Linked DNA regions of Elephas maximus indicus. The protein of the gene in region 1 interacts with the protein of each later gene in a pairwise test. Links are inferred from orthologs where the notes say so. Each region holds a gene or a part of one and is shown on either strand. Other genes may lie near its edges.

Evidence for each region.
Region 2: the proteins of ZNF496 (region 1) and ZNF446 interact in binary tests that used the Homo sapiens proteins (3 or more experiments, as listed by UniProt). The two-hybrid records come from large-scale screens. The link is inferred for Elephas maximus indicus from reciprocal best matches to the Homo sapiens genes ZNF496 and ZNF446.
Region 3: the proteins of ZNF496 (region 1) and PGBD1 interact in binary tests that used the Homo sapiens proteins (3 or more experiments, as listed by UniProt). The two-hybrid records come from large-scale screens. The link is inferred for Elephas maximus indicus from reciprocal best matches to the Homo sapiens genes ZNF496 and PGBD1.

The regions. Positions count from the first base shown.
Region 1 is NC_064820.1:233,708,286-233,715,638, reverse strand, and holds the start of ZNF496 (zinc finger protein 496), read left to right. Parts: upstream 1-4,306; 5' UTR 4,307-4,395; intron 4,396-6,034; 5' UTR 6,035-6,152; intron 6,153-6,517; 5' UTR 6,518-6,554; coding exon 6,555-6,944; intron 6,945-7,329; coding exon 7,330-7,353. UniProt on the Homo sapiens protein: DNA-binding transcription factor that can both act as an activator and a repressor.
Region 2 is NC_064829.1:87,338,845-87,346,829, reverse strand, and holds the start of ZNF446 (zinc finger protein 446), read left to right. Parts: upstream 1-4,930; 5' UTR 4,931-5,865; exon of another isoform or gene 5,866-6,209; 5' UTR 6,210-6,341; intron 6,342-7,134; 5' UTR 7,135-7,135; coding exon 7,136-7,405; intron 7,406-7,985. Other genes in the region: ZNF324 (zinc finger protein 324A), read left to right, coding at 173-295, 1,084-2,543. UniProt on the Homo sapiens protein: May be involved in transcriptional regulation.
Region 3 is NC_064819.1:79,716,956-79,724,676, forward strand, and holds the start of PGBD1 (piggyBac transposable element-derived protein 1), read left to right. Parts: upstream 1-4,637; 5' UTR 4,638-7,630; coding exon 7,631-7,721.

The DNA.
Region 1 (7,353 bases):
AAACCAACTTCCCCACAACCCTGCTTTTTCCCACTTTCCCATCTCAGGAGATGCCCCCCCACCCCCACCCAAATGAGGCCACAGCTACAGCATTTTTATTCCTTTAGCACCTCACAGGAAACCCCTGGTAACATAGTGGTTAAGTGCTACAGCTGCTAACCAAAAGTCAGCAGTTTGAATCCACCAGGTGCTCCTTGGAAACCCTATGGGGCAGTTTTACTCTGTCCTATAGGGTTGCTATAAGTCAGAATCGACCGCAACCGGTTTGGTTTGGTTTTGGTAACACCCCATAGCAATCCACCAGGTAATCTTCTCTGCTCTGCCTTCAACATAGAGCCTGAATCCAGTCACCTCACCTGCTCCACCTTGACTGGCCAGTTCCGAGTCACTACCATCTCTTGCCTGAATTTCTACAGCAGCACATAACGGGCAGCTATTTCTGCTGGGGTCCCTCCAATCTGTTCTCTACAGCATTCAGTTTAAAATGAAAGTCAGCCCTGGCCATGCCCTTCCTCGAAACTCTCTAGGTATAAAATCTAGTCTTCCCCCAGCCCACTGTCCTCGTCACCCCATCCCAGCCTTCCTGCCATCTTGGCTGTTCTTGGGCTGTGCTGAACACTCCTGGTCCACAGCCTTCACACCTTTTGCTCCCTCTGCTGAATCTTCTTCCTCACACATCACACAGCTTTCCCTCCACTTAGCTCTGCTCAAACGTTCTCTCCTCACAGCAGCCCCGCAACCACCGGCACTCTCCTTACCCTGTTTAATTTTTTTCATGACACTTATCACCCACTGACATTTTATTACATAGTTGTTTGTTCATGTCCTGATTTCTTTTCCAGCTCTTGAAGCTAGGACCTTTATTCTGTCCTCCCAAGGATGACACAATCATTGATTCACTGTAAGCATTTCATAAAAATATACAAAATCGGCAACATGATATAAACTAAACAAAAACATGCACATCGAGTGTGATGATGACCAACAATCACTGAGCAGGTCTTGGTGCTTTACCCGTGGTATCTGATTTAACCCCATTTAGTGCAGGGGAAAGACCTCCACATGGCTTCCAGTGCCCCTACCCTGAGGTCTATGAAGTCCTTCTCACCTCGTTCACTGCCCACCTGCCCATTTCGCTCACCACTGCACTCACCTGGGTGCCTTTGCTGTCACTGTGGCTTCCATTTGGGACACTGCTGTCTCAGCTATGAACTTGATTAACTCCCTCACCTCAAATGGCACTTTCCCAATGAAGCCTGCTCTACTCTTTAACACTGTGAATATCACCAACCCCTCTCCAGCACTCCCAGCATGAATTAAGCATGATAGACCATATTATTGAATTTGCTTATTGCCCCCTTCACCTCCCCTGCTAGACAGTTGTGTTCGCAGATGTATCCCAAGCACCCAGAGCAGGACCTAGCACTACAAGTGTTTAGTAGGTGTTCTATGCATGTTTGTTGAATGACTGAATGAGCCCTCACAGCCATCCAGCAAGGTAGATAGATAGCATCATCCCTATTTTCCGGACGAGGAAATGGAGGCACACTAAGATTAAATAGGCCAGAGATCATCTGGGTAGGAAGTGGCAAGACACAATTTAAATTCTGGTGACCCATTTCCGGAACCCAGACTCTTAAACATTGTGTTGAGATAAATGAAGGAAAAGAGCAAAGCGCGTATTCTAAATACAAAGGATTAACCTGTGGGGGCATGGGGGTTGGAAAAGAAGAAATAACTGCCAGAGAGGTGTCAGTTCAGAAGGTCTGGTCTGGGAAGTGGAAAGTGAACCCAATCTCTGGGTCTGCTTTTTATCTGTTTTAGGGCAGCAGTGGGCAGAGCTATGAGAGTCAGATCCCCAAACACTCCAGAACTCATTTCCTGACAGGTAACAGGGCTAGGAGCTACAGCAAAGGCTGCCAGGACAAATCCTATAGTCAGGACCTCCAGAGTGCCAGAAGATGGCCTGTTTCCTAAAGCAGCAAAGTCAGCTGTGTGGGGGGCCATGGTTCCTATCCAGACCTCTCCTCTAGGCCATGAACCTGACTGAAGCTTCTGAAAGGTTAAAAGCTGAGTACAATTAAGCCAGAAGGGGTAGTTCCTATCTCTGGCTGCCCTTTGGATTGTCCTTGGTTCAATGTTGTTCTTTCATTCCTTTGTTTTAGTACATCTGCTATCATCAGTACCTGGGCATTAGACAAACAGGAGATCTCAGTAACTCTGCTTGTCAGGATTGATTATTCCTGTGATTTAGAGGCCAAAATGGCGGCACCCAGACCAAGGAAATGAGAGGAACATCGCTAAGGGAGCTATCTGGTTCCTCGATCCAAACTGTGTCCTCTCCACACCCACTTGGCCAGGGTGACCTCTTTGTGGAGAACTGAATTTGACCTGCACACCCTTGAAACAGGCTCTGAAGGAAACCAGGACTACCCATAGTCCAGTCTCCCACTGGCTGATGGAGACTTTTCTCTGCTTTCTCTTCCATGAGTTCAACTTCAGTGTGGGGCAGGTGGTGGGAGAGAAAGGGGGGTGGTCTCCTGGGCATCAGATCTGCTCAGAGACCTAGGACACACTTTCTCCCAAGCTTTGGAATCTGGAAAATTAGGAATGAACCCAGGAAGACTCCTCTGAGCCTTTGGGCTATGTTCAGCATAGGGTGATAGCAAACAACTGCACTCATCTGTTACTGGTGGCTGTGTGCTTCTATGATGCTGAACGGCTTTCCACAGAGGTTCCAGCCTAGGAAGAAAGGCCTCATGACCTGCTTCCAAAAATCAGCCAGTGAAAACCCTACGGATCACAAAGGTCGGATGCCATTGTGCATGGAGTTGCCATGAGTTGGATGCAGTCTTGAGGGCAGCCTACAGCAGGGGTCCAGAGGCCCTAATTCTTCCTGGTCCCTCACTGCCACAAGACTTCAGGGGAAAATCCCATAATGACTTGCTCCCTCCTCCTCAGTTTAAACATCTGTAACCTTCACTGCTTAAGCCAGGAATGGGCACCCTGACCACCCACTGTGGGCTCCTCTGCCCACTCCACAAGGTTTCTCTGACGCTCAGAAGAACCATCTCTTGCTCCTTCCGTAAACTGTGAACCCCATCAAACGTCAAATGTCAGCAGTGTGTTCACCCCAAGGAAGACACAGGTTGAGACCTTGGGCCTCTGTCTTCATGGTGGAAGAATGCGGGGAGTGGGGGAGGGGATCTGAGTTCCTTCATTCCCGCTCCCCTCCTCGGCTGCGGCAGACCAGGCTTTTAGGAGGTGTTTTAACTGGCAAAGGGGTTAGGCCTGCGGGACTTGGGGTAGAATGGGGTGGCAGAGCGGCGTCCGGGGAGTGCAGAGAGGGATTCAGAAATGCGTCCCCCGAGGGAGAGAACAAGCCTTCTTCCTCCGCTCTCCCACCAATTCCGCATCCAGCCGCTGCTCCCGGATCGGCCCTTCCGGACGTCGACACTCCCGCGTTCCTCTGGAGAACCAGAAGGAGGGAAACAAGGGAGAGAGAAGCCGGAGCAGAACCTTCCCGCAGCAAACCGCACCAGCGCGCGCCCTCCTTCTGACCGCGGCCCCCGGCCACCCGAACTCCGCCACCGGCTCGCATGCGTCGTCCCTGGCAGCGCCTTCAACGCCCCCTGCCTCCCGCCCCCCACCGGCGCTCGCACACCCGGGCTCCGGGGAGCGGGTAGGCCCCGAGCCGCCGGTCTGCCCGGCGGACAAAGCCCCCCGCCTGGGCGCGGAGGCCAGAGGCGCGCGCGGGGCGGGGCGGGGCGCGCGGACCGCGGGCCCGGGCCGGGGGTGTCGGATGTCACCCCCGGCGCACACCTCGGCCGGGGGGCGGGGGAGCCAACCACTGAGATGCGAAGACCTCCCCGGTCCTAGAGCGGAGCAGGAAGTGTCCCAGGGGAGGGAGTCGGAGGGCTCTGGCCTTTCCTTTCCTCCGCGTCCTGCGGGCTCCGGCGACGGCCTGGCCTGCGCGGCCCGCGAACGGGGACGCGCCGCAGCGGTGAGTGCTGCCGTGCGGGTCCCAGCCGGCTCCCCCGGTCCCCGCACCCGCGCGCCTCTTTTCCGCGCGCCCAGGCCTGCGCCAGCGCCGCCCCCAGCCCCGAGCGCAGGGTCCGGGGGTCTGCGGGCGGGGGCAGAAAGCGGTAGAATTTTGTTTTTCAGGGGCCTCCATTTCCTCCCACCCCTTTCCTCCCGAACGAAGCCGTGGCTTTCTGGATGAGCAGGAGAGGGCGTTGTGGCTGGCCAGGGAAGGAGTCTGGTCCCTGCAGAGAATCCGCCTGAAGAAGGACACCTGGGAGACCGGGCTGGAAGGATGAGGAGGTGCCGCCGGGGACTTCCGCCGCAGCAGGAGGGATTTGAGTTAGACGCTGGGAAGGAGTTCCAGGCTGTGAGGTGAGGAGCGTGTGGTTAGTGACTGTGTGTGTGTGTAGAAGGGAGCGTGAGGGAGAATGGAATGAAAAGCTCTCTCCTTTCCTTGGCCTAAAATGCCCTCCCCTTTCCTTTCTGCTGTTGCCGGTCTGTCCCTCCTCCGAGAGCTGGCTTAAACACGCCCAATCCAGGAGCCCTCCCCCGCTAACCTTAGTTCTTTGCGTCTCCTACACGCCAGGTGCAGGGTGACAAAGAGGAACAAGCTGTCTGGTTAGAGATAAGGTCCACAGAGCACCGAATGGGCAGCCACACAGCGGGGCCTGGGGTGCTGAGGGTAGGCACTGGGTTCTCCCAGGGTGGGGGCAGACCTGAGGAGCCAAGGGGAGAGTGGGGAAGAGGGGCCACTAAGGTCCACAGAGCACCGAATGGGCAGCCACACAGCGGGGCCTGGGGTGCTGAGGGTAGGCACTGGGTTCTCCCAGGGTGGGGGCAGACCTGAGGAGCCAAGGGGAGGGTGGGGAAGAGGGGCCACTTTTGGCCAGGAGGGTGGGGAGAACCAGGTGGGGACCAGATTGGACTCTGGAAGAGACTCTGGAGGGAATCCAGCGGTGGGCTGAGCTGATAATGTGTTCAGTCAGGGGCCCTCCAAGTCCCCTTCTGCCAATTTGTACTTGTTTTTAGGTTGGAAAGCAAGAGGGTCCAGAGACTTGGTTTTTCTGATTGCCTCTCAGTGACTTTGCCATTTTTCTGGTTTCACTTGTCTTCCTGTGAAAGGGTGAGGTCCGTCACACCCCCTACCAGGAGACTGGGAAAGGAAGGCTGTGTGAGAGGCTGGATGTTAAGTTGCTCTGCTCACTGGGGTCCTCTTAGAGGTGAGGGCATGGAGGGTGAGTGACCAAGCTGGCAGAGAGGGACTGTGTGTGTCTCCATGTGTCCTTGACTTTTCTTGTGTCTTTCCTTGTGCTGCCACCCTGGGGGATCCCAGTCTTCGGTGCGTGGCTGTCCACAGGGCTCTGTGAACCGTTTTTTTAACCCGATAGCTTGTTCCTCTGGCACCCTGCACCTGTAGTCTGGGTCAGTGACTATATGTCACAGATAACAGCCTCTCTTGTCACCTTGTTTGGGGAGATGTAGGGGTCCCATCCCCTGCCATGTGGATGTGGGTACAGTTCATGGAGGGCTGAGAGCTGGGTTATGTGCTGTGCTGCTAAGCACCTTGCTCCCCTAATCGGCCTAAGGAAGGGCTGTGAGGGCAGTGCAGTTGCCTTGAGCAAGGTTTGAAGAGGACAAGGGAGAGAAGGAGGTGGAGGTAAAGTCGAAGGTCAGAGCACCTTTCAGTACATGCTAAAGTTTCCTATCAGACACTCAAATGAGTTGGGTGGCAGGCTGGTCCGAAAGCAATGATGCTTTAAGATATAGTGGCATTTCTCTCTGGTAAGTGCAGTCTGCAGCTCTCTTGTGACTCTTGTGATCTCTTGTCTGGGCATATTCTCGTCTGCCTCTTTTCCCCTGCAGGCTCTACTGGGGGCGGCCAGTTCTGGCTCTTGTGTGCACTCAGCTCTGAGCACAGGTGCCTGGCCCTCAGCTGTCAGCAGGGTGGATTTCCTGAACCTTGATGTGCTTTAAAGGCTCTTCCCTTGCATGTCTGCCTGTATTTTTCCAGCTCAGTTTGTAAAGGTCTTCAGCCCAAGGACGGTGACTTCTGCCCCAAAGCCTCAAGATAGCAGCCTGCTCAGACGCATCCATCTTGGGTCCTCTCCAAGAGGACCTGGCCACCGAAGGTACCAGAGAGCCTTAATTAACATCTCCCTCCTGCATGCAGCCCCTTTGGTCCTCTGGGATGCTTGGAAGGCCAGGGTCACATGGAAATGCCATCGCTTTTCTCCTGGACTCACTGCCTCGTTACCCCGATCATCTAGCTGGGGAATGCACACACAGTGGTACTGAGAGGGAGATGGGGATGGGGATGGGTTCTTTCTGTCCTTGTGTGTAAGGACCAGTCACAATGACACCCCTCACCTGGGAAATCCCAGGGCTTCTCCAAAGGGCTGATCTCTGTGGGCTTTGTCAGTTTTCCCATCAATACCCCCTAAAACTAACGCAGGAGACCAGAACATTGAAGCCAGCGATTTCTGTTTGGAAATAGGGTCGTCTTCTGCTGCTGACCCCCATCAAATCCCATCATGCCCACAGCCCTGTGCCCCCGAGTCTTGGCTCCGAAGGAAAGTGAGGAGCCCAGGAAAATGAGGAGCCCACCTGGAGAGAAACCTAGCCCCCAAGGAGAGCTCCCCAGTCCAGAGTCCTCCCGCCGCCTGTTCCGTCGCTTCCGCTACCAGGAGGCGGCAGGTCCCCAAGAGGCCCTGCACCGCCTCTGGGACCTTTGCCGGGGCTGGCTGCGGCCTGAGAGGCACACCAAGGAGCAGATCCTGGAGCTGCTGGTGCTGGAGCAGTTCCTGGCCATCCTGCCCCGGGAGATCCAGAGCTGGGTGCGGGCCCAGGAGCCCGAGAATGGCGAGCAGGCTGTGGCCGCAGTAGAGACAATGGAGCAGGAACCGGGCAGACCCTGGCAGTGGGTGAGCAGAGGGAGCTGGCTGGGCTGGGAGATGGGACAGAGAGTGGGGCTGAGAACAGGTGTGCTGATGGGGATAACCGTTCCCCAGCCGAGGTTGTGGAGTCCTGTCTACAACCAGGACGTACCTCTGTTAAGTCCAGACTAGACGTCAGTTTCCCGAGAAAGCAAGTTTCTTTCCCCAGAGGCCCTAATGTGGTGCCCAACTTTGTCGTCTCCCTTTACATCCCTGTCCACAGTTTGTGCTTAGCCTCTGGCGGTCAGCTATGGGGTCGATGGTCGGCAGGCCCAGGGAAGGGAGGGAGCGTGCCCAGCCGCTTGCAGAGCAGGGCTAGTCCTACCGCTGGCCTGGGACCTCTCCACCTGAAAAGCCCTCTCTGGGATTATAGCTCAAGCACTCTGAAGACCCTGTG
Region 2 (7,985 bases), on another chromosome or scaffold:
AGGGGGACAGCTAGGCTGTTACTGTGAACCCCACCCCATGGTGCATGGCAAGACATGATATGACCCTTGGGTTTCCTGGTTACACAGATGACACGAGTTTCCTGCTATCTGTTGAGAGGTGAATTGTCCTGAGCAGGGGCCAGCCCCTCTCCCGCCTTGTCCTCCCCCACAGGGCTTGGAGCTTCCCGACCCCGAGTGGTTGTCCAGCTTGAGCGTGGCAAGGAGCCCTGGGTTCCCGATGGGACGGACACGGCCCCAGTCACAGCAAGGGAAGTCCAGGGGAGGCCTAGCCCTGGTGAGTGGGGGCTCAGGGTGTGGGTGAGCTTGGCACTTGACTTGGCTGAGCCTCCATCTCCCTTTTCAGGCCCTTCCTAACACTCTCCTCTTCCGCCTTCCCGCCCAGCTTCCTCTTCCTCTCCCTCCACTATCCTCTCTTGGGAGCTCCCACCTTGGCTGCTCTTGAAGGTCAAGCTGAGGGTACCAAAGCTGGGTTCAGACACAGGTCACTCCCAGGCCATGGGGAGGCTTGTTAAGAGCCCAAGAGGGCTATACAGCCTCAAACCTTCCCAGTCTTGTTGCTGTATCTGTGGGTCATTGCTTCATTCCCTCATGTATTTGTTCATCAGTATTTCTTGAATACTTGTTGTGGCCACACATGTTCCAGGCACAGAGGACACGGCCTTGACCAGGACACTTGTAGCACTGTCTTTGGGAACAGCAAACACAAAGTCTGGGTACCATGAGGTAGTGCACCACCCATCTCCAGTGGTGACCGGACCTGGCCTGCAGCAGCTGCTCAATGGCTAGTGTCCTTCTCGGTTGGGGCCAGGGCCAACTCTGCCCCTGCCCCTGCATTCTGGGCTTCAGGGCTAGTGTCTTAACTATGGGGGTCCCAGATGCCATGGGTGGCATGCTTGTCACAGCAGATGCTTTTCTCAGCCTGGTCAGGCCTGGGCCCGTGCTTTTCTGCCTGTTAACACACCTACCTCCCAGGGTGCCCACTTTGCCCTGTGTGTTCTACCTGCCCTGGCCTCCGCCTCCTGGCTGGGATGACCCAGATAACCACCATTTCTCTGCTTTCAGGTCCGCGGTGTCCAGCAGATGATGGGGATGTTTACGGAAAAGCAGCATTGCTTGGGGCCTTCCTGGGTAGCCCCCCTCTGACAACGCCTCCCAGAGTCCTTCCCTCTCCTGGTGCCTGTGACCTGGGGAAAATCCTGGAGGGACAGCAGGGTGCCTTTCCATCTGGGGAGAGAAAATCCACTGGGGTGTCCATGATCTATTGGGAGAGGCTCCTGTCGGGCTCCGGCAGCGGGGAGGAGAGCATCAGCTTGAGGCTGACTGCACCCCTGAGGGCTGCAGAGGGCAGCCTGCCCAGGGGAAGGGCCCTCACAGACTGCCCAGTGCCGGGAAAGCAGCTGAGGGTGCAGGAGCAGCAGAAGTCACATATGAGGGAGGCTCCTGGAAGTGCCCTCCCTTGTGTCCCAGTTCACGCTAGGGGGGATCTTCCCACATTCAGGGAGGAAGAAATGGCAATTCTGACCAGCAACCCTCAGGCACTTCCCACTGGCCAGGTGGCCCCTGCTAGGGACGAGCTGAGGGAGGCCCTCCACACTGGCGCTTGCCTCCTCCCTGGAGATAAGCCCTTCGAATGCAGGGCCTGCAACAAGGTGTTCGTCAAGAGCTCTGACTTGCTCAAGCACCTGCGCACCCACACGGGGGAGCGGCCATACGAATGCGCCCAGTGCGGCAAAGCCTTCAGCCAGACGTCGCACCTGACGCAGCACCAGCGCATCCACAGTGGCGAGACGCCCTACGCGTGCCCGGCCTGCGGCAAGGCCTTTCGGCACAGCTCATCGCTGGTACGCCACCAGCGAATCCACACAGCCGAGAAGGCTTTCCGCTGTGGCGAATGCGGGAAGGCCTTCAGCCACGGCTCCAACCTCAGCCAGCACCGTAAGATTCACGCGGGCGGCCGGCCCTACGCCTGCGCGCAGTGCGGCCGCCGCTTCTGCCGGAACTCACACCTGATCCAGCACGAGCGCACGCACACGGGTGAGAAGCCATACGCCTGTGCGCTCTGCGGCGCTGCCTTCAGTCAGGGCTCCTCACTCTTCAAGCACCAGCGTGTGCACACGGGCGAGAAGCCCTTCTCCTGTGCTCAGTGCGGACGAGCCTTCAGCCACAGCTCCAACCTCACGCAGCACCAGCTGCTGCACACCGGCGAGCGGCCCTTCCGCTGTGGGGACTGCGGCAAGGCCTTCTCTAAGGGCGCCGTGCTCATCAGCCACCGCCGCATCCACACTGGCGAGAAGCCTTTCGTGTGCTCGCAGTGCGGCCGCGCCTTCCGCGAGCGCCCGGCCCTCTTCCACCACCAGAGGATCCACACCGGCGAGAAAGCTGGGCGGCGGCCCAGGGCAAGCACTGGACGGCCCCCTCAACCCAAGCCACTATCCATATTATCGGAGGGTGCGCAAGGGAAGGAAACCGATCACACTGCCCCCTCAGGCCCAGCCGCAGGCCCAAAGCCCATGGAGGCCTGAGATCGCAACTCCGACCTAACATGAACGCAGGGAAGGGAACCCCAGGCAAAGGACTACAGATCCACACAGGGGAGGAGCCCTGTGCCTGCGAGCCAGGGACGCAGGAAAGCTTTCGTGTGCACGTGGAGACAGGATTTGCTGCTTAGCCAGAGTGCATCACACCTGCTCCAACCCCAACACTGCACAGAAGTCACCAGAAGGACAGGGCAACCGGGAATTTGCTGTCAGAGCTGGAAAGGGCATGTTGGGGCTAGGATGAGGGCAAGGGTGAAGGGAGGAGGAGACTGGAAATCATCCCTGGGCTTTCTGGGTCAAGATAGCAGACTGGACACATTTCGTCTGTCTTGGCTCAGAAACAACACTAAAACCAGAAAAGAAAAGGCTTAAAACATAAACCCACAAGTGTGCGGATGGTGGAAAAGGGGCTAATAGTAACACCATTTTGAAGTCAGAAGCAGATGGGGATATTGTCACTAATTTAGAGAAAGCCAAATACAGCATTGGCACTGGAGGAAATGGAGGGTTGTCTAAGCAGGCTTATACTGCAGAATTCCAGCGGCTTGAGAACCAAAGTCCAGCACTTATGGAATGAGAAGCCAGGGGACCTACGACAAAGAAGACTGGGAGAGACATGAGAAGCAAATAAACAATAATTAGAACACTTGATCTTTCCCTACGTGGTGTGCAGTGGAAGATTCATCTCTGGGGATTCTACACAGTCTCAGAGAAAAAACGTAAGGATACTCCCACTGGGGTACTTTCCCTTCCAAAGGGCGTATGCTGATAATGCTACAGAGAAGCTCAAGGTTGACAAGTCCCACCCACACACAGGCACAGAGCTTCCAATCAGTGGAATTCATCATGGGATTATCAGAGGACACCAAAATGGAAACAATTTAGGGTTGGCTAAATAAGTCACAGTTCAGCACTTGATGTGGAGAAGCAAAACTGACCCTGTCCCACAGTCAGACTTAAACAGTTACATTGCCTATTGAGATGAACTAAAAATACTGCATGGTTTAGAGTCAGGAAAGGTGTGCATCAGGGTTGTATCCTTTCACCATATTTATTCAGTCTGTATGCTAAGCAAATAAAATGAGAAGTTTGACTATATGAAGAAGAATGGGGCATCAGAACTGGAGGAAGACTCATTAACCTGTGATACGCAGATGATACAACCTTGCTTGCGGAAAGCAAGGAGAACTTGAAGCACTTACTGCTGAAGATCAAAGACTACAACCTTAAGTATGGATTACACCTCAACATAAAACAAAAATCCTCACAACTAGACCAATAAACATCATGATAAATGGGAAAAAAATTGAAGTTTTCAACAATTTCATTTTACTTGGATCCACAATCAATGCCCATGGAAGCAGCAGTCAGGAAATCAACTGACATATTGCACTGGGTAAATCTGCTCCAAAAGACCTCTTTAAAGAGTTAGAAAGCAAAGATGTCACTTTAAGGACTAAAGGTTTGCCTGACCCAAGCCATGGTGTTTTCAATCACCTCATAATGCATGCGAAAGCTGGAAAATGAATAAGGCCGAAGAAGAATTGACGCCTTTGAGTTGTGATGTTGGTGAGGAATACTAAATATACCAGGGACTTCCAAAAGAACAAACAAATCTGTCTTGGAAGAAGTACAGCCAAAATGTTCCTAAGAAGGGAGGATGACAAGACTTCATCTCACATACTTCAGACATGTTATCAGGAGGAAACAGTCCCTGGGAGATCATGCTTGGTAGAGGGTCTGCAAATAACAGGAAGACCCTCAATGAGATGGACTGACACAGCAGCTGCAACAATGCACTCAAGCATGACAATGAACATGAGGATGTCCAGGACTGGCTAGGGTTTTGTTCTGTTGTACACAGGGTCACTAAGAGTCAGAACTGACTCAAAGGCACCTAATGACAAAAATAACAGGTCACCCTTCTAGTTCTGGTCCCCAAAATAAATGAAACGTTGAGCACCTCCCCTAAGTCTAGGCAAAAGCCTGCACTCTACTTCGGATAGCTGAAGGTATGATAATCATGGGACAAGTGTGCTACTTTCCTGCCACCAATGGGCTAATGCAATCTCAGTCACTTTGGTAATTGTGCAATTTTTGTTTGGTTTCTTTAAATACCTGCTGCATTCTGCAGGTTGCCCCTCTTTGCAAGTAAATTTCTTTTCCAAATGCTTTTGTCTCTAAGCTTTCCTTCTAAAGATATACAGGCTTGTGCTGCCTATCATGTCATGTTTACTGGAAATACTGAAATTAGTACGTAAATGTTTATTAGATATGAATATACTAGTTTAAGGGGTAAAAAACAGCACAGAAAAGCATCCGAGTTTGAAGAGTGGCAAAGTGGGTTGTGAGATTACTTTTGAACTTTTCTGTTTTCCAAAGTCACTACAATAAGCCCATATTGATTTTTTACTATAATCTTATAATATCAATTTTATTAAAAATGGTCTGAAGAATCATGGCACACAGTGAGGGCCTTATGTAACTGTTGAAGCAGTTTCCTCTTCAGTAAACTGGCGCCTACCGGAGTCCTTGTTACCCCGCACGTCCGCAGGGTGCTCAGTGGAGGTCAAATGTCAGGGCGGAGGAAGTCTACGGATCAGGACTGACGACCCGAGCCTAGCCATTCCCAAGCCCACTTACACGCTCGTCTCAGTCTAACTAGACGTAGCGGCGGAACCGCCACTTCCGGCCTCTCTAGGGGCCGGGGCGACTCTAGCCGTTGCCGTGGAAACAACTAGAGGCTGCAGAAAAAGCACTAGCAGTTACTAAGTGGACCGCTGGGCTGCAAGGAAGAAGCCTCACGGAGAGCTCTAGGGGAATGGCTCGGGCGAAGCGCCAGTTCTGACTGGTCAGGACGTCAGCCTCCTCGTCCGTCACCTCGCCTGCCAGTAGGAACCGGACCCGTTGTGCACATGCGCGATATGCCAAAGTACTGTCCAACTTGACAGTTTGTAAGTCCTGGGGTTCGGGTTTGAGCGAAAAGCGACCGCTGAGGGGGTGGGCCGCAAGCACTTTGTGACCCTTCGGGCCCCATCGTAAATGGGACACCTCTCAGGCATAAGAAGCCTCTGGAAATGAGCTCCCACTGGTCGAGACTGGGACTCCGCTTTTTTGCTGAGGCTCAAGGGAAACGTAGTCCGAAGGGAGAGGACGGTGCCTTTGGGGTAGGCCCCTGATTAGCCAGGGCAACGCGTGGGAGGGGCGAGTCGGTGCGTTCTACGCAAGCGCGTGGAGAATGGCGTGCGGAGCTGGCGCGGCGCCATTTCCCGGAAGTTACCTACGGGGCACCGGCGCCGCGGTAAAGGTGAGCGTGGCCTTTCCCACCCCCTGGAGCGGCGCGGGGCCTACTTTCGGGACCCGGCCGTCCCCTACGCTCGGCCTTGAGCGTCAGTTTCTGTCCCGACGTGCCGTGCGCGTCCGCACCATCGAACGTAGTCCAGGCCGTTCCTGCCTCCCATGAACACCATTCTGTATACCCGTACCTGGGCCCCCGCCTCCGTGAAGACCTCCTCCCTCCTTTCCCTTTTTGGGCGCCCGCAAGGGACAGACAGCAGAGGTCAAGGGCCCCTCGGACAGGCCGGAGGTTGGGCCTGAGCTGAACAAACCTCCTCCGAGCTTAATTTCCGGTCCATGCTTGACTTCTCACAGTAAAGCGAGCTGTGCCTACCTGATGAAGATGTGAGAAACGCTCGACGATTGAGAACTCGTTAGGATTCTGAAAGAGCTGGTTAAATTGCATCGAGTTCTGAACAGAGTTTTGTGTGAACGGAAATTTGCCAGGTGAGTGTAAACATTTTAAACGTACATTATTCACATTTTTTAAGTGTGATATTTAAATTCAAGAAATAGAAAATGCCATGTGATTTATTAATGGTTCCTTTCTTGTATCCAATGTCGATTTAAATGTACTATCACACATTGTACTTATATGTTTGAACTGGGTATTTATCTCGCAAATTTAAATGTTAACAAACATAAGCAACTAGTGGAAAGAAAACGTTTCCGTTCTGATAGAGGATTATTTCACTGAAAACAACTTGATGGCGTCACTATTAAGTGAGATTTTCTTCAAAAGGTGCCGAATAAACATACGAGAATGTTGTAAAGTGGGACTTTAAATGTAGGAAGTTAGCAAACCCTGTGAATGTAAAAACAAAGTTATTGCGTTTTTTCTAATATACTGACAGCTCGTGACTAGAACCGTTGTAATATGTACCGGCTCTGATTCATTTCTACAAATGTATTTATGCATTCTTTTTATGTCATCAAAGTTTAATACTCATTTTTAACGTAACGTGATAAAAACAAAACTGCTTGCCGTCAGATGGGTTTAGACTTATAGCGAGTCTATAGGACAGTAGAACTATCCCCATAGGGTTTCCAAGGCTGTCATCTTTACGGAAGCAGACTGCCACATCTTTCTCCTACACAGCAGCTGGTAGATTTGAGCTGCCAACCAGACACTTAGAAGCTGACCACTTTAATGACTGCGCCACCAGACCTTTTTAAATGTAATATGGTGACTATAAAATATGCTCTAATGTTAATATTATTTTTTGCCCTTGAATTCTAGTATGGGACGAACCAGAGAAAACCCATGTCGAGAATTTTTCAAGTATGAAAAGATTGAAAATAAAAGCACGTGTAAAATTTGCAACACAGATATGGTTGGAGACCATGCAGCGAATTTAGAGAGACACCTGAAGCGTCACCATACGGATGAGTACAATGCAGTGCAAAGCAAGAAGACAAAGAAGATTGAAGAAAGTGTCAGAAGCGTTCCGAATAAGCAACAAAAAACTTTAGAGGAGTTTATGGAGTGTGCTGTTCCAGAATGCCTTAAGGTGAAATTAGATGAACAAGTAATTGTTGATGCATGTGTTGAATTAGTTACTGTTAGGGGTTGTTTGTTTGAGTTAATTGAATATTCAGGATTCTGTAAAATTTTAAATCTAATTACAGGTACGTCTCCCATCCAAAAGTTTGCCTTATACCACTTCGTTTTTACAAAAGACCTACATTAGTACCTGTTTTCGCTAACTGAAAGGAACCAGAAGAGGATTTTCTCTTTTGGGAAAATAGCATTCTTGTATGTAAACAGCTAATTTGGGGGTGTGCACATGCTGCTGATTGTGGGCTTAGTAGGTGAAAACCAGGTCAGTGATGCTATATGGGTGCCAGTTCTCTGCAATCATCTTGCCAACTTTGGGGGTGCAGTAGTCTGGGAACTCGAAATACAACATGCCTGAAGGGGGTAGCAGGTCCAGGTCAAGGTCCAGTGCCCTCCATTCCAGGCTGGCAGGGCCAGGGGCCAGTGTCTGTAGTGCTGCTATAACAGAAATACCACAAGTGGATGGCCTTAACAAACAGAAATTTATTCTCTCACAGTCTAGTAGGCTGTAAGGTCAAACTCAGGGCATTAGT
Region 3 (7,721 bases), on another chromosome or scaffold:
ACATTTGTTGTTTTGTGTTTTTCAGATTAGTGTCAGCCTTGTTGGGGTGAGGTGGTATCTCATAGTTTTGATTTGAATTTCTGTAATGGCTAACGATTGTGAACATTTCTTCATGTGTCTGTTAGCCGCCTGAATGTCTTCTTTTGTGTCTGTTCATATCCTTTGCCCATTTTTTAATTGGATTATTTATTTTTTTGTTGTTGAGGTGTTACAGTATCTTGTAAATTTTAGAGATTAGACGCTTATCAGATATGTTCTAGTCCAAAATTTTTTCCCAATATGTAGGTCCTCTTTTTACTCTTTTGATGAAGTCTTTCAATGAGCATGAGTGTTTGACTTTTAGGAGCTCCCAGTTATCTAGTTTCTCTTCTGGTGTCTGTGCATTGTTAGTTATGGTTTGCATACTATTTATGCCATGTATTAGGGCTCCTTGCATTGTCCCTATTTTCTCTTCCATGATCTTTATTGTTTTAGATTTTATATTTAGGTCTTTGATTCATTTTGAATTAGTTTTTGTGTATGGTGTGAGGTATGGGCCTTTTTCATTTTTTACAGATGGATATCCAGTTGTACCAGCACCATTTGTTAAAGAGACTGTTTTTCCCTCAATTAATGGACTTTGGGACTTTGTCAAATATCAGCTGCTGCTAGGTGGATGGATTTACATCTGGGTTCTCAATTCTGTTCCATTGGTCTATGTGTCTGTTTTTGTACCAGTACCAGGCTCTTTTCACTACTGTGGCAGTATAATAGATTCTAAAATCAGAGAGTGTGAGGTCTCCCACTTTGTTCTTCTTCAGTAATGCTTTACTTATCCAGGGCCTCTTCCGTTTCCATGTAAAGTTAGTGATTTGTTTCTCCATCTAGTCAAAAAAAATGCCCTTGGGATTTGGATCGAGGTTGCGTTGTATCTGTAGATAGCTTTGGGCAGAATTGACATTTTCATAATGTTGCATCTTCCTATCCGTGAGCATGGTATGTTTTGCTACTTATATAGGTCTCTTTTGATTTCTTGCAATAGTGTTTTGTAGTTTCTTTTATGTCTCTGGTTATTTATTCCTAACTACTTTATCTTCTTGAAGCTATTGTAAATGGTACTGATTTGGTGATTTCCTTTTTGAAGTTGTCTTTGATTTTGGTATGTTTATCTTGTATCCTGATACTTTGCTGAAATCTTCTATTAGTTCCAGTAGTTTTCTTGTGGATTCTTTGGGGTTTTCTGTACATAAGATCATATCATCTGTGAATAGGGATGCTATTACTTCTTCCTTACCAGTTTGGATTCCCTTTATTTCTTTTTCTTGCCTTATTGCTCTGAGTACAACCTCCAGTACAATGTTGTGTAAGAGTGGTGATAAACGGCACCCTTGTCTGGTTCCCATTCTCAAAGGGATTTCTTTCAGTTTCTCTCCCTTTAGAATGATGTTGGCTGTTGGCTTTGTATAAATGCCCTTTATTATGTCAAGGAATTTGCCTTCTATTTTGCAGAAAGTTTTTGTCAGGAATGGGTGTTGGACTTTGTCAAAGGCCTTTTCTGCAATAATTATAAGATGATGTGGTTCTTATCTTTTGTTTTATTTACATGATGGATGGCATTGTTTTTCTAATACTGAACCATCCCTGCATACCTGATATGAATCCCACTGGGACATATTGAATTATTTTTTTGAAATGCTGATGAATTCTATTGCCTAGAATTTTGTTGAGGATTTGTGCATCTATGTTCATGAGGGATATTGGTCTGTAATTTTCTTTTTTTAGTGGTGTCTTTGCCTGGCTTTGATATCAGGGTTATGCTGCTTTCATAGAATGAGTTCGGGAGTATTCCTTCCTTTTCTATACTCTGACATACCTTTAGTGTTATTGGTGTTTTCTCTGGAAGTTTGGTAGAATTGTCCAGTGAAGCCATCCAGGCTTAGGTTTTTTTTTTTTGTTGTTGGAAATCTTTTTTATTACCTCTTCAGCCTCTTCTTTTATAATAGGTTTATTTAGTTTTTCTACCTCAGTTTGTTTTAGTTTATGCCAAGAATGGAAGACAGCTACTTGGCCAACCGACTGGAAGAGATCCACAATTATGCCTGTTCCCAAGAAAGGTAATCCAACCGAATGCGGAGACTGTGGAACAATATCGTTAATATCATACACAAGTAAAATTTTGCTGAAGATAATTCAAAAGCAGCTGCAGCAGTATATCGACAGGGGACTGTCAGAAATTCAAGCCAGATTCAGAAGATGACATGAAACCAGGGATATCCTTGCTGATGTCAGATAGATCCTGGCTGAAAGCAGAGAATACCAGAAAGATGTTTATCTGTGTTTTATTGACTATGCAAAGGCATTCGACTGTGTGGATCATAAAAAATTATGGATAACATTGCAAAGAATGAGACTTCCAGAACACTTAATTGTCCTCATGAGGAACCTGTACATAGATCAAGAGGCAGTTGATTAAATAGAACAAGGGGATACTGTGTGGTTTAAAATCAGGAAAGGTGTGCGTCAAGGTTGTATCTTTTCACCATACCTATTCAATCTGTATACTGAGCAAATAATCCAAAAAGCTGGACTATATGAAGAAAAACGGGGCATCAGGATTCGTGGAAAACTCATTAACAACCTGTAATATTTGGAATATGCAGATGACACAACCTTGCTTGTTGAAAGTGAGGAGGACTCGAAGCACTTACTGATGAAGATTAAAGAGCACAGCCTTCAGTATGGATTACATCTCAACATAAAGAAAACAAAAACCCTCACAACTGGACCAATAAGCAACATCATGATAAATGGAGAAAAGATTAAAGTTGTCAAGGATTTCATTTTACTTGGATCCACAATCAATACCAATGGAAGCAGCAGTTAAGAAATCAGAAGACACTTTGCATTGGGCAAATGTGCTGCAAAAGAATTCTTTAAAGTGTTGAAAAACAGAGATGTCACCTTGAAGACCAAGGTATGCCTGATCCAAGCCATGGTGTTTTCAGTCGCCTCATGTGCAAGCCAAAGCTGGACCATGAATGAGGAAGACTGAAAAAGAACTGATGCCTTCAATCTGTGGTGTTGGCGAAGAATACTGAATACTCCACCGGCTGCCAAAAGAAGGAACAAATCTGTCCTGGCAGAAATACAGTCAGAGTGCTCCTTAGCAGCAAAGATGGCGAGACTATGTCTCACATACTTTGGACATGTTATCAAGACAAATCAGTCCCTGGAGAAGGACATCATGCTTGGCAAAGTAGAGGGTCAGTGCAAAAGAGGAAGACCCTCGATGAGATGGTTTGACACAGTGGCTGCAACAATGGGCTCAAGCATAACAACAATTGTGAGAATGGGCAGGTCTGGGCAGTGTTTCTGATTTTGTGAACAGCCATGTTCATCTCCTTTGCTGATTTTTCTATTTCGCTTCTCCTTTTGCTTTTAAGGAACCCTGGTGGCATAGCAGTTAAGTGCTACCGCTCCTAACCAAGGGGCTGGCAGTTCAGATCCATCAGGTGTGCCTTGGAAACTCTGTGGTGCAGTTCTACTCTGTCCTATAGGGTCGCTATGAGTAGGAATCCACTCAACGGCAGTGGGTTTGGTTTGGTTTTTGGTTTGTTGGCGCAATGGTTAAGAGCTGGGCTGCTAACCAAAAGGTGGGCAGTTCAAATTCACCACTGCTCCTGGGAACCCTATGGGGCAGTTCTACTCTATAGGGTCACCGTGAGCAGAAATCAACAGACTCCGCAGCTCCGGTTTGGGTTTTTGGGATCCTTTAAACCTCAATGCCCTTAAAGTTGAAATAGGAGCACTGTGTGCCAAAATTTTATGTGCACATGTCCTTTGGGGGAGTGTTTTTTTATGTCCTTTGACCATCCAGTTCCAATGTGTGGAATGTGTCCTAGAAATATAAAAGAATATATTCAATTTTGTTCTCTCCAGCATTGTTTATAAAGAAAATAACATAAGTATACCTCAGTATACTTTTTTTTTTTTTTTTACCTCAGTAGGCACAGTTAAGTAAATTATGGTACAGCCATACAATAGAATACTATTTAGCTCATAAAGGATAAGTTGCTATGGAAAGATCTCTAAGCTATCTTAACTGAGAAATCTAAGGTGCAAAATTATACAGTGATCCCATATTTTAAAATGCACGGATATATACTTATTCACTAAACAAATATTTATGAGTACTATTTTTTTTTTTTTATAGGGTCTCTGTAAGTAGGAATCAGCTTGATAACGGGTTTGGTTTTCTTTGTTTACTTTGTGGTAGGTAGGGTCCTCGAAAGATATACACAGAAAATAGTTAACTCTGGTGAGTGGGACATTTATTTTTCATTATCTCCATGTTAGTTGAGTTTTTATTGTACATACACAACCCGTAAAATTTTTTTAAATTAATTTTTGCTGCTTGCTGTATTTTAATTGATTACTGATTCGTGTCCCACACTACTAGCCCGTGAGGACCCCAAACAGAGACTCGGTTTTGTCTTTACCACCTTGTTGGTTTAAAATAAAGAGCTTTTAACTGAAATGATTTACATAAACGAGGTGAGCTGCTTGTCCGACCCCCGGGGGCTGGGTTCTGGGGGCTGAGGGAGGCCTGGGCGAGGCGGGAAGTGCGTTGCGTCTCTCCCGGCCCCTTCCGCCCACCAGCGTCTGCCTCCCAGGTCCCGGCCGTCAGCTGCAAGCCTTGCTCTGTCAGGATTTCGAATCGTTCTCACTCTAGTGTGAAGGGGCCCCGGGGAACCTTCGGAGAGTCAGCGGGCGCCCGAAGGAGTGGGAGAGAGGGTGCGAGGCGGACCCTGACCGGGCCAGACTGCCCTGGTAGCCTCCTGCCCGCGCGCCAGGCGCACCAGAGAGACGAGCGGCTGCGCTCATAGAGCGGCGCGGGACCCGCTGGACGCCGCGACTCCGCCGCCCGCGCGGGGCTGGGCCTGCGAGGCGGGACGGCGGGCCGGGGCCCGGGGCGTCTCCGGGGGCACCCCGGCGGTGCGAGGAAAAGCCCTCGGCCCCCTGGCCCGCGGCTGCTGGAAGTGCTGGCGAGACCCGCCGGCTCTGCGAGGCGCCGCGGCCCTGGCTCCCAGAGGCCGGCCTGCACCTACAGGTGTGTGGGGACTCCGGACCCAGCGGCGCCGCGGGCAGCGCGGGAGCCTTTCGCGAGGCCGGGCATATCTTTGTTGTACACTTTCGCTGAACCTCTGGTCCGTTAACCAGCAATTAGACAAGCATTATTGAGTGTCCATGGTGTGCCAGACTCTGCGCTAGATCCTGGGGTGCAATCTCAGTGAGATACATTCCGGGCCGCCTAGAGTGTCTTGGCCGCTGGCATCTCGTATACGTCTGTGTGCGCTCACCAAGAAGTTCACCGATATTTGTTGAATACCAGGTACGTGTCGGGCATGTAGAGGCCATGCAGAGATAAACCCCGGTCCTCAAGTAAGCTTATTCCTCCTTGGCAGTCGGGAAAAGAGGGGGATGTCAGGAATACGAGAGGAAATGAGAGGTGCGTTAGGACTGGGCTTACTTTTCCATGGGAACATCCCATCTCCACCATTGTGGCTTAGAGGGCAGAATAGGTGGCTAGGAAAAGTTTTACGGAGGAGGTGGCATTTGCTCGGGGCCTTGGGAATTTACCCTGTCAGAAGAGCAGTCCTGGCCATAAACTACAAGGCAGGTGGAGAAAACTGAGTAGTCCCCACAGTAGTGGCATGAGGAGTTTGGGAAGACTTTGGTTTCCTTGAAGGTAGGGATTCTGTTTTTATTCCAGGGTTAGCCTTATGCATGGAAAACAGTGAGGTGTTCAGTAAATTTTTATGGAGTGACAAACAAACCAGCAAAACCCAGTAAAGATCACATCCTGGGATGCCTAAAATTGCGTTCTAGAGAGTTTGAATTTAGTTAGTTCAGTGAGGAGCAATTGAAACCTTTTTTTTTTCCCCCCTTGAGGCATTGTTGAATACAGTCAGAATTGGGATTTAGAAAATAGTAATCGAGTGCAGTTTTATTCTGACACCATAGGGTTGCCATGAGTCAGAATTAAACTCCCTGGCAACTGGTTTTGGAGTTTATGGGTGGCTCAGATGCTGGGCTGCTAGTAGAAAGGTTGAAGGGTTAAGGTTTGAGTCCACCCAGAGGCACCTGGAAGCAAGGCCTGGCGATCTGCTTCTGAAAAATGAGCTGTTGAAAACGTTGTTGAGCACAGTTCTGTTCTGACATACATGGGTTGCTATGGGTTGGAATTGACTGGATGGCAACTGGTTTGGTTTTCATTTAACAATTGATTGTGGGGTAAGTCAGTAATATCACACAAAAAATTATTGTAATAGTGAATGTAAATGATAATAATAAGAGAATAAAAAGGAGGAATGGCTACAAGAGGCATTTTGGGAGAAAGAATTGACTAGACTCAGAGTGATTGGGTATAGGAACCGGTTTCAAGCCTGAGAGCATGGAAGATGGTAGTGACATCAATAAAAATGGAGAAATACAAAGCAAGTGCAGCTTTGAAAGGACTCTAGTTTGGGGGTATGTTGAAATTGTGGGGCAGGAGAGGCCTATAGCTGGAGGTATCCCGCTGGCAGTTCGAGATGTGGGTCTGGAGTGTGAAAGACAAGTTGGAGCTAGACATAGATTTGAGTGTTCTTGAGATGGCAATGTACTGAAATTGTGATTGATGAGATCACAAAAAGAGAAAGTGAGGAGAAAGAACAAAATAACTTGAAGCATGTCTACTGTTCCAGTCATGTATTGTTGCATAAGAACATAAAAAATAAATAAAAACTTATTATTATTTCTCCTGATTCTGTGGGTTAATTGGGCAGTTCCACTGCTGTGGTCTCACCTAGAGTTACTTCTATGCCTGCATTCAGCTGGTGGCTCAGCTGGGGACTAGGTTCTCCTGGGTATTGACTGGGGCACCTTGGCTCTCATCCACATGACTACTCTGCATGACTAGCTTGGGCTTCCTCACAGTATGGCAGTCTCATGGCAGTGTGCCAAGAGTTATAAGGCCACTTCCTCTTATAATGTCATTTTTGTCACATTTTATTGGTGGAAATAAGTCATAATCCAGCACAGATTCAAGGGAAGGAGAAATAGACTCACCTTTTGATGTGAACAGTGGCAAAATCTCATTACAAAAGATATTTGGGGGTAGACGTTATAATTTCAGTCATCTTTGGAAATAGTCTACTGTACCTACATTTGAGGTGGAATATTCAGTGAGAGATACACAGAGATAGATGACTTTGAGAATATAGTATCTGTCATGCAGGTAGCCACCTGGCTCCTTCATGAGTAAAGTTATCTCCCTTTCCTAGCTAAAATGTAAACTGCTCAAGCACTCTTAAAAGTCTAATAAGCCCTTCTTCCCTCATATTTCACATCCTTTAGCTCTTGGCTGGACCCCCTCAGGGTTGAAGATGTACTTCTGATTAATTTCACTGATAAAGATAGGCAAACGGGCTCAGCTTTTGAACATGACCTACTGTGGGGACAAAAATATTACCATGTGGTGTAGCGTTTTGAAGCTCTTGTAATTTTCATGTTACTGACACATTCTCATGCCTCAGATAGACATTTAGAAAAACATTTCTGAACTGTAAACCACAGTCAAGTGATCCCTGTTCTAGCATCTAAGCTTAACATGTATGAAGCTTCAGGCCCTGCTCCTGAAGATGAAGAAGGCCTTGTGAAAGTGAAGGAGGAAGATCCCACATGGGAACAGGCATGTGGCT